2 linked regions of the Mus musculus genome follow. The protein of the gene in region 1 interacts with the protein of each later gene in a pairwise test. Links are inferred from orthologs where the notes say so. Each region holds a gene or a part of one and is shown on either strand. Other genes may lie near its edges. The genes, in order: Atp10b and Tmem30a.

Region 1 (4,267 bases):
CCAATAAATAAGTCCGAATTTCCTGGATATGTAGCCTATCACTTCTTTATACTGTAACTGCAATTGCTGCCAACTACAGACACTTGGCTATGTACCTGTGTTCTGGGTTAAATATTAACTGATTGCTGAGGCCAAGTGGATTATGGGTTACCAGAAAAAAGCAGGGATTGAGGAAGAGAAGGAAGGGAAAAGTACAGTGTGCACATTATTTGCAAATGTAGGAGGTCCTTAAAAGAGGTTGTTCATAAAAAAATTAATATAAAACTTTTCAGCTGTGGAAAAAAAATAGATATGGGAATAGAGGTAAACTGAGCTGTCTCCGTGCCAGAGTGTATGAACTGCTCTTCTCCGTCCAAGTCTTTCACAGACTCCATACATCCTCCTTCAGGTTCTAAAACCACTAGAGCTGGGCCCCAGCCTCTCTTCTTCCTATTCTGATGGATAGGAAGCAAAAAGAGAAGATTACACAGGCTGAGGCCAAAACAAGTCACAGCCCAGAGACTTACGTTATCTGCAAAGAGGCTTGGCCTCCTACTTTTCACCACCCCACAATAATACTGTCACAGTGCAAATGCATCAAGCCGGAGCCGGAGCCATCGGTGCCCAGGCATCCCTCAGAACAGTGCTTCCCAGTCTTCTGAATGCTGCATTTATTTAATACAACTCCTATATTATGGAGCACAAATTGTTTGTTTCATTGCTACTTTATAGCTATAACCTTGCTTCTGTTATAAATCATAATGTTAATATTTTTGGAATCAGAGGTTTGACAAAGGAGTTACAGCCCACAGGTTGAGAACTGCTACCCTAGACATGTCTTAATCCAAATATAGTAACAATCAAATCAGCCATCTAGGAAGAATATCTTCTTGGCCAGGCACTCAGGTGTGAGATATACCAAATGGAATTATAATCCCCAAGACAAAGATGATAGAAAAGACCAGCTTACATTTATGATACAAGCAGTGGTCACCACAGCCTAGTCACTGCATGTCCAGGTGTCCTTGAAAAGTATCTTTCTGCGCTGTTCCACTTTCCATTCTCATTGAAATACCAGCAACAGCAACAACAAACAGAAAGATAGAAAGAAAAAGGAGAGAGACACAGAGACACAGAGACGCAGAGAGAGAGAACCTATAAAACCTACTAGGCTGCCATTCAAATTGTTGTATAGTTGATAATGACATTGAACTGCTAGTCCTCCTGCCTGTCTCCTGAGTGCTGGGATTATGGACGAATGCCCTCTATACCAGGTTGTGATGGTTTGTATATGCTCAGCCCAGGGAGTGGCACTGTTAGAGGGTGTAGCCCTGTTTGAGTAGGTGTAGCCTTGTAGGAGTAGGTATGTCAGTGTGGATGTGGGCTTAAAAACCCCATCCTAGCTGCCTGGAAGCCAGTATTCTCCTAACACCCTTCAGATGAAGATGTAGAACTCTCAGCTCCTCCTGCACCAGGCCTGCCTGGATGCTGTCATTCTCCTGCCTTGGTGATAATGAACTGAACCTCTAAACCTGTAAGCCAGCCCCAATTAAATGTTGTCCTTTATAATATTTGCCTTGGCCATGGTGTCTGTTCACCGCAGTAAAACCTTAACTAAGGAATAGGTTTATGTTTGGTGGAACCCAATGCCTCTTGCTTTTTGTACTCTGCCTACAAGCTATGTCCCCAGACCCATCCATTTGATGTCCTGCTCTGAAATTTTGTAAGGTTAAAATGTTCATAGCCAAAGAAATCCTAAAGACTAAAGAACTCTTGGTAATGGAATCCATGTGACATGGAAATTGAAGGAGGCAACTCTGGAGGGAGAAGGAGTGGACCAGAAGGGGGAAGTACATAGGGCATGCAGAGAGAGAGTGGGTGGAGCAATTAAAACAAAGCATGTTGACATATATGGATAAAAATGTTATAATAAAACCCATTACATAGTATGCTAACTTTTTAACTTAATTTAATTTAATTTTTGGTTCTTGGTTTTTCAAGACAGGATTTCTCTGTGTAGGCTTGGTTATCTTTGAACTCTCTCTTTAAATCAGGCTGGCTTTGAACTCACAGAGATCCTCCTGCCTCTCTCTCTCAAGTGCTAGAACTAAAAGTGTCTACCACCACCGTCCAGCCATATGTTAACTAATTTTTTTAAAAATTCAATTAAAAAGTATTTAAAATATAAACATTTCTCATTTTGTCTTAAAATATGTCAACACAATTTTATGTACTTCCCAATTTGTTCCTCTCAAATTTGTTCCTACATGGATAGTATTAGGAATATGATTATTCTTCCAGAGGACCTAGGTTCAATCCTCACACTCACATAGTGACTAACAACTGTCTGTAAGTTTAGTTCCAGGACATCCAATAACCTCTTCTGGCCTCTTCAGGCACCAGACACATAAATGGTACACAGACAAATATGCTGGTAAAATACATATCTATACATATACATTAAAAATTTAAATTAACCACATGAGCAAAGGATGGTAAAAATAGCTTTCTTCATTTTTTAAAAGCCAATTCATTATTTTAAAGGTTTCTTTATTTTTATATCATGTGTCTATATGTACATGCTTGAATGTATATATGTATGTATGTATATGATGTGTATACCTAGTACCTACAGAGCCCAGAAGAGACTATCAGATCCCCTGAAACTGGATTTGCATGTAATTGGCAGCCATCTGATGGCTGGGAACTGAACTCACCTGGGTTCTCTGTAAGAACTGCACTCTTAAGCACTAAGCCATCTCTCTAGCCCCTCTTTCTTCTTTTTATGTTGAAGATGAACAAGGTGAATGGAGAACGTTTACTGTTAAGAATGAGCCAAATTTAGCCTCCTAGCATCCCATCTTTGCAGACCACAATTTGGCTTTTCCATGACATCATCAACCATGTCATCAACAACTGCCACACTGACACCATCACTTGCTTTCACAATGCTGATCCTTGTGGTAGTTGTATAATTTTTTTTTATTGTTTACTTAATGTATCTGACCTTAAAACAGATGCATCGCAGGAACTTTTTCTATTTTTCTAAGATTGAACTCTACATGTACAAAAGAAGAGATGCCATGTTGTATTATCCTCCTTACCATAGTGACTTCTTGTGTTCACATTCCACTCAGCTCTCCTGATCACAGCAACTTCCTGTGTGTTTGCAGACTATTGTCACCTGATCCCAGAAATGACTTGCTCTCTTGACTTTTCTTGGCTCCGATGGAAATGGCGAACCCAAGATGGCTTCTCCCAATCTCCATCAGAAACCACACCACTGCTTTCTCCAGAGACAGACAGACAGAGCCACAACACAGCAGAGCAGCGGGTCGTATACCCCAACAACAGCATGTGTCACCAGGACTGGAAGAAGGTCTGCAGGAGGTACCCAGGCAACAGCATCTGTACAACCAAGTACACTCTCCTCACCTTCCTGCCCCAGAATCTCTTTGAGCAGTTTCATAGGTATGCAGCTGGGTCTCCCAACAATATATACCATGGCCTAGCATTGCTGCTGAGATGATGCAGTTCTCTTTGATATCCAAATGTACATATGGAACAAGCTCCTCTCATTTATCAAGTGTTGACTTATCACATCATGTGTTTGCGTAGTAAACATATATGGAAAGAAGAGACTGAACTCATTGTTTGCCCCATTTAGTGAAGGAGATACATTAATTTTTAAATTGCCAAATTGACTTAATTCTATAACTAGAAAAAAAAATACTTGCAAAGAAAGGTATGTGGTACTTTACAGTGTGAATTTGGTAAACAGAGCAATGTCAGCCAAGACTCCCTTGAAGAAGTAACAATTCAGACATGACTGGATGAAAAGATAAAGAGACACCCTCGGTAGATAACTCACTGAGGGGTAAATATTCACTGAGCCAAATATGAGGACTAGACTGTTCAGATCCCCAGAACCTCTGTATAATCTGGGCAAGTGGGAAGTTATCTGCCTGTAGACCCAGATCTTAGGAGACAGAGAGAGACAAGGGAGCCCCGGAGTGAAATTGCCTTGTTTAGATCAGTGAAATCAATGAGCTCTGAGTCAAGTAAGAGACCCTCCTCATTAATAAAGTAGAGAGTGATTGAGGGAGACTCCAAGCATCAACATCTGGCATGCACACATGTACACATGCACATGTATTAACTATAAATCAAATATTACCTTAAAATCCCAAGATTTGTTAAAATTTGTAACTAACATTGACGACTGTTATGCTTCAGAACCCTTTTGTGTATGCAAAACCAATTTTTATATCACATAACATTTATTAAA
Region 2 (3,825 bases), on another chromosome or scaffold:
CCAAAAATCAAACACTTGTTAAAACTTTATTGATTTTTTTTATAGTTTGGTATTTGGGCCCTACCCTGTGTGCACATGTGTGTATGGTTGTGAGTATGCACATTCGTGCCTATGTGGCATTAGTTCTGGTCTCTAATTTTGGTAAATGAGCATATGGGATAGAACATAAAATTTCAGAATTGGCTTGGATAGAGACCAGTTTGTTTTACCCTATACCTGAAAATTGAATTTAAAAACATTCTTCAGGAGTGGTGCATGCCTTTAGTCCCAGGAGACAGAGGCAGGCAGATTCCTGTGTGTTTGAGGTCAGCCTGATCTACAGAGCGAGTTCTAGGACAGCCAAGCCTACAGAAAACCAAAAAATAACAAAAGAACCTAACGACCTTCTTCAGGAAACAAAGCTGTCATGATACATACCAAGGTTTGAGAGTCCTCATTCAGATTTTCTATATGTAGTGATAACTTTAGTAGTTTCTGGTGGATGGGAGCCATCTAGAGGTTATAGATGCTCTTACACTAAGGTAAATGTTTCTTTGGGACTGAGATATGAAAACTGGCTTGGGAGAAGACTGACAAGTGCAGTGGTGGGCATACTATAAAGATGCAGTCAGCTTTGGTTCTGTGCAGAATTGAAATGAGAGGGTTTGAAAAAGTTAGAGGTTCCTTTATCTCCTCCCTATTCAAAACATTTAATTTGGGAGGCAGAGATAGGTAGATCTCTCTGAGTTTGAAGCCAACCTAGTTTACAAAGTTCCAGGACAGCCAGGGCTGTTACACAAAGAAATCCTGTCTTCAAGCAAACACACAAGCAAACAAGCAAACCAAGCTCCCGGCTTTAGATCGCCTGTTTAAAGTGGCCATTTTGTCTTTGTATGTCTGTTTCTTCACAGATTTTTTAATTGGACTAAAACCATTTCTGGGAACTTAAAAGTTAATTTTGTATCAGAAATGGTAGAGAGTATTCCTTTTTCAGTTTACAGATTGAATTTACTATTATTGTTCTTAATTAAGATGCTATTCTTTTTTTCCTAAACATATTTATCATGTTTTTGTCATACAATTTGATACAATTCACCCAAAGATTTCCATTTTAACACCTTTTATATAGAATGGAAAAGGTTTTTGTTTGCTACTTAACAGTATTTTCATTCATTTATTTACAGTTTGATGCATGATTTCAGGTATTCTAGGTTGACCTTAGACTTGCAGTGTAGCTCAGGTTGGCTTGGAATTAATGATCCTTCACCTGCCTCCTAAGTGCTGGGATTGCAAGCTTCTGCTACCAGAACACGTCAATATTCAGTCTTTAAATGTCTATGAAGTTAGCAAATCAAATAAATCAACTTCTGTGTGTACAGAATTACTTTTAATTGAAGATATGAATATAAAAATAGAAGTTTTAATCAGAAAGCAGAAAATAACATTTTTTTAAACCTGTTTAGTTATTTGGTTTCTTAGCACCTTGTAGTTCATTCAGTTTATGTTTATTACTTTTTTTCCAAGATATTTGAAGTTACCTCCATTAGAGTACCATTCTTGATTATTATTATAAAATATAACAGTGTATTTTCATAACTACTAATTTACTAATTGCTAATAGTCTGTAGTATCCTGGGGACTATTTGGAGGGCAGAAGGAACCAAGGCAAGACAGGAGGAAGTGTCATGAGTAAAGTAAAATCTATGTGTAAATCATTGTGAAATATTTGGTATACTAACAAATTTTAATAAATAGGAAAGAGTAGTATATATAGCATCTTCTGAATTTGTGTATTCTCATTCCAGTTATAACTTATTTGGATAATAAATCAAAAGTTTAATCATTCTTCTGAAAGGCAGATGCTAATTGGATGAAAACCAAGTTGAATTAGTAAAACTTTATATTGTAGCTCAGAGCACACTAATATTTTTCAATATTATTTTTTAATGAAAATATTTTGTGGTGTGGGGTGTGTGTGTGTGTGTGTGTGTGTGTATGTGTGTGTGTAGTATGACATGTGTATGTCTTCCTTTGTCTCCTTATTTCATGAGACCAGTCTTTCCCTGAACTTGGAGCTTCTCATTTAAGCTAGACTGGGTAGCCAGAAAGTTCCTGCCTGTCTCCTCCCTGGCTGCCCTTCATTGCTGGGTTTATAGATGACTGCTGCATGATGGTGCTGGGATCCACACTGAGGCTCTCATGCTCACACTACGGTCTCTTTACCAGTGAGCCATCTCTTCCAGACTGCACGCAATACTTGTTGGATAGTTGAGAAGTTTAAAATAGTTGGACTTTATTTACAGTTGCACACTTTATTTTTTGTTTGTTTGCTTATGTTTTGTGGTGTTGGTGATTGAATTCAGGGCTTTACACATGCTCATGCCAGGCGAACACTCTTACTGAGCTGTACTCCTAGTGCTTACTAAGTACTTGGTAAACAGATTTGCTAAGCCAATTAATAGAGTGTGCTTTGGACTTAGTCAATACCTGATTTGTTTGTGGTAGTATTTTCCCCTTCTTTTAAAACTTACCTGAGAATTTAAGAACTGGAGTATAGTTGCTCTACTGTGAGTTGATTTATATTTAATTGTACAATTTTAGTTGCTACTTAACCTCAGTACCTGTTTATCATAAATTGTAAACTAGTAAAGTGTAAATTGCTTACATTTTACATACATATAAAACAAATATTAACTTTTATGTTAAAAGGTTTTCCCTTTCTGTTTTCTCTAGGGCAATGTGTTTATGTATTATGGACTGTCTAATTTCTATCAAAATCATCGTCGCTACGTGAAATCTCGAGATGATAGCCAGTTAAATGGAGACCCTAGTGCTTTGCTTGTAAGTAATGATGAGATACAGATATGTGGTTATCTGTGAAGTAAGAACGTGTTGTAAATATTCATTCAGAAATGTTATTAAGGACTTAATAATCTTAGAGGAGATTAAAGAATTACTTGTCATTTCTAGTTTTAACAGAAATTTTTATTTAAAATGCTTTTTCTTGAATGCCCACAAAATAGCTTCTCAATTCCACTACTGCCTGTTTATTTCTTGGGAGTTTGGCTTTATTTCTTTGTAATGGGATTTTGATGAGTCTAGTATTTTAGATGTGTAAGTGTGTTCTTATGGGGTTGATTCATTATTCTTACGCTAGGTGGGGATATGCAGATGAACTGTTTTTAATTTCTGGGATTGTGCTTCAAATCTGAATAACTGTCCTGTTTTTTTAAACTTTTCACTGTGGGAAGACTAAGCAGCAAAAATGTAAAGCTTTCAGAATTCTCAAATCTACTCTATGTGTTTGTAGGAGTAGAACTATAGGTTATGTGTAACAAGCTCCCTTTCTCATGCTCTATTCGGGAATCCATGGATGGTATCCTAATTTCCTGACTGTTGAGCTTTCCATAGTGGTGTTTAGTACATAAGTATTTTATGTCATCTTGTCAATAGGGCAAACATTTGAAGACTGGACTAGTTTCTCATTTCTTAGACCCTTTGTATGTCTTACAATACACTATAGACAGCCAGACATGGTGATGCATACCTGTAATCACAGCACTTAGAAAAATATTAAATCGATAAGTGATATATAGCTATGTACAGGTAAACAAACATTTTATTTAAAAAGTACTGTAATATTAAAGAATATTTTGAGTATTTAAATGTAGTGTTTAGAGCTTAGTTTCCTTACAGACTCATCATATACTTTCTGAGTGAGGAAAATACAAGGCTAGAATTTTTAATTAGTAATTAGGACTAGCTCATTATTTTTCCAGAGATCTAGATGGTAATTTCTCTCTCCTTTTCCTTTTGAAAACTAGAATCCAAGTAAGGAATGTGAAC

What was found.
Region 2: the proteins of Atp10b (region 1) and Tmem30a interact in a protein complementation assay, tested with the Homo sapiens proteins (2 studies listed by IntAct, with this or other methods). The link is inferred for Mus musculus from reciprocal best matches to the Homo sapiens genes ATP10B and TMEM30A.

What each region holds. Positions count from the first base shown.
Region 1 is NC_000077.6:43,148,440-43,152,706, forward strand, and holds the start of Atp10b (probable phospholipid-transporting ATPase VB), read left to right. Parts: upstream 1-1,437; 5' UTR 1,438-1,513; intron 1,514-3,152; 5' UTR 3,153-3,175; coding exon 3,176-3,450; intron 3,451-4,267. UniProt on the Homo sapiens protein: Catalytic component of a P4-ATPase flippase complex, which catalyzes the hydrolysis of ATP coupled to the transport of glucosylceramide (GlcCer) from the outer to the inner leaflet of lysosome membranes.
Region 2 is NC_000075.6:79,776,219-79,780,043, reverse strand, and holds part of Tmem30a (cell cycle control protein 50A), read left to right. Parts: intron 1-2,712; coding exon 2,713-2,820; intron 2,821-3,803; coding exon 3,804-3,825. UniProt on the Homo sapiens protein: Accessory component of a P4-ATPase flippase complex which catalyzes the hydrolysis of ATP coupled to the transport of aminophospholipids from the outer to the inner leaflet of various membranes and ensures the maintenance of asymmetric distribution of phospholipids.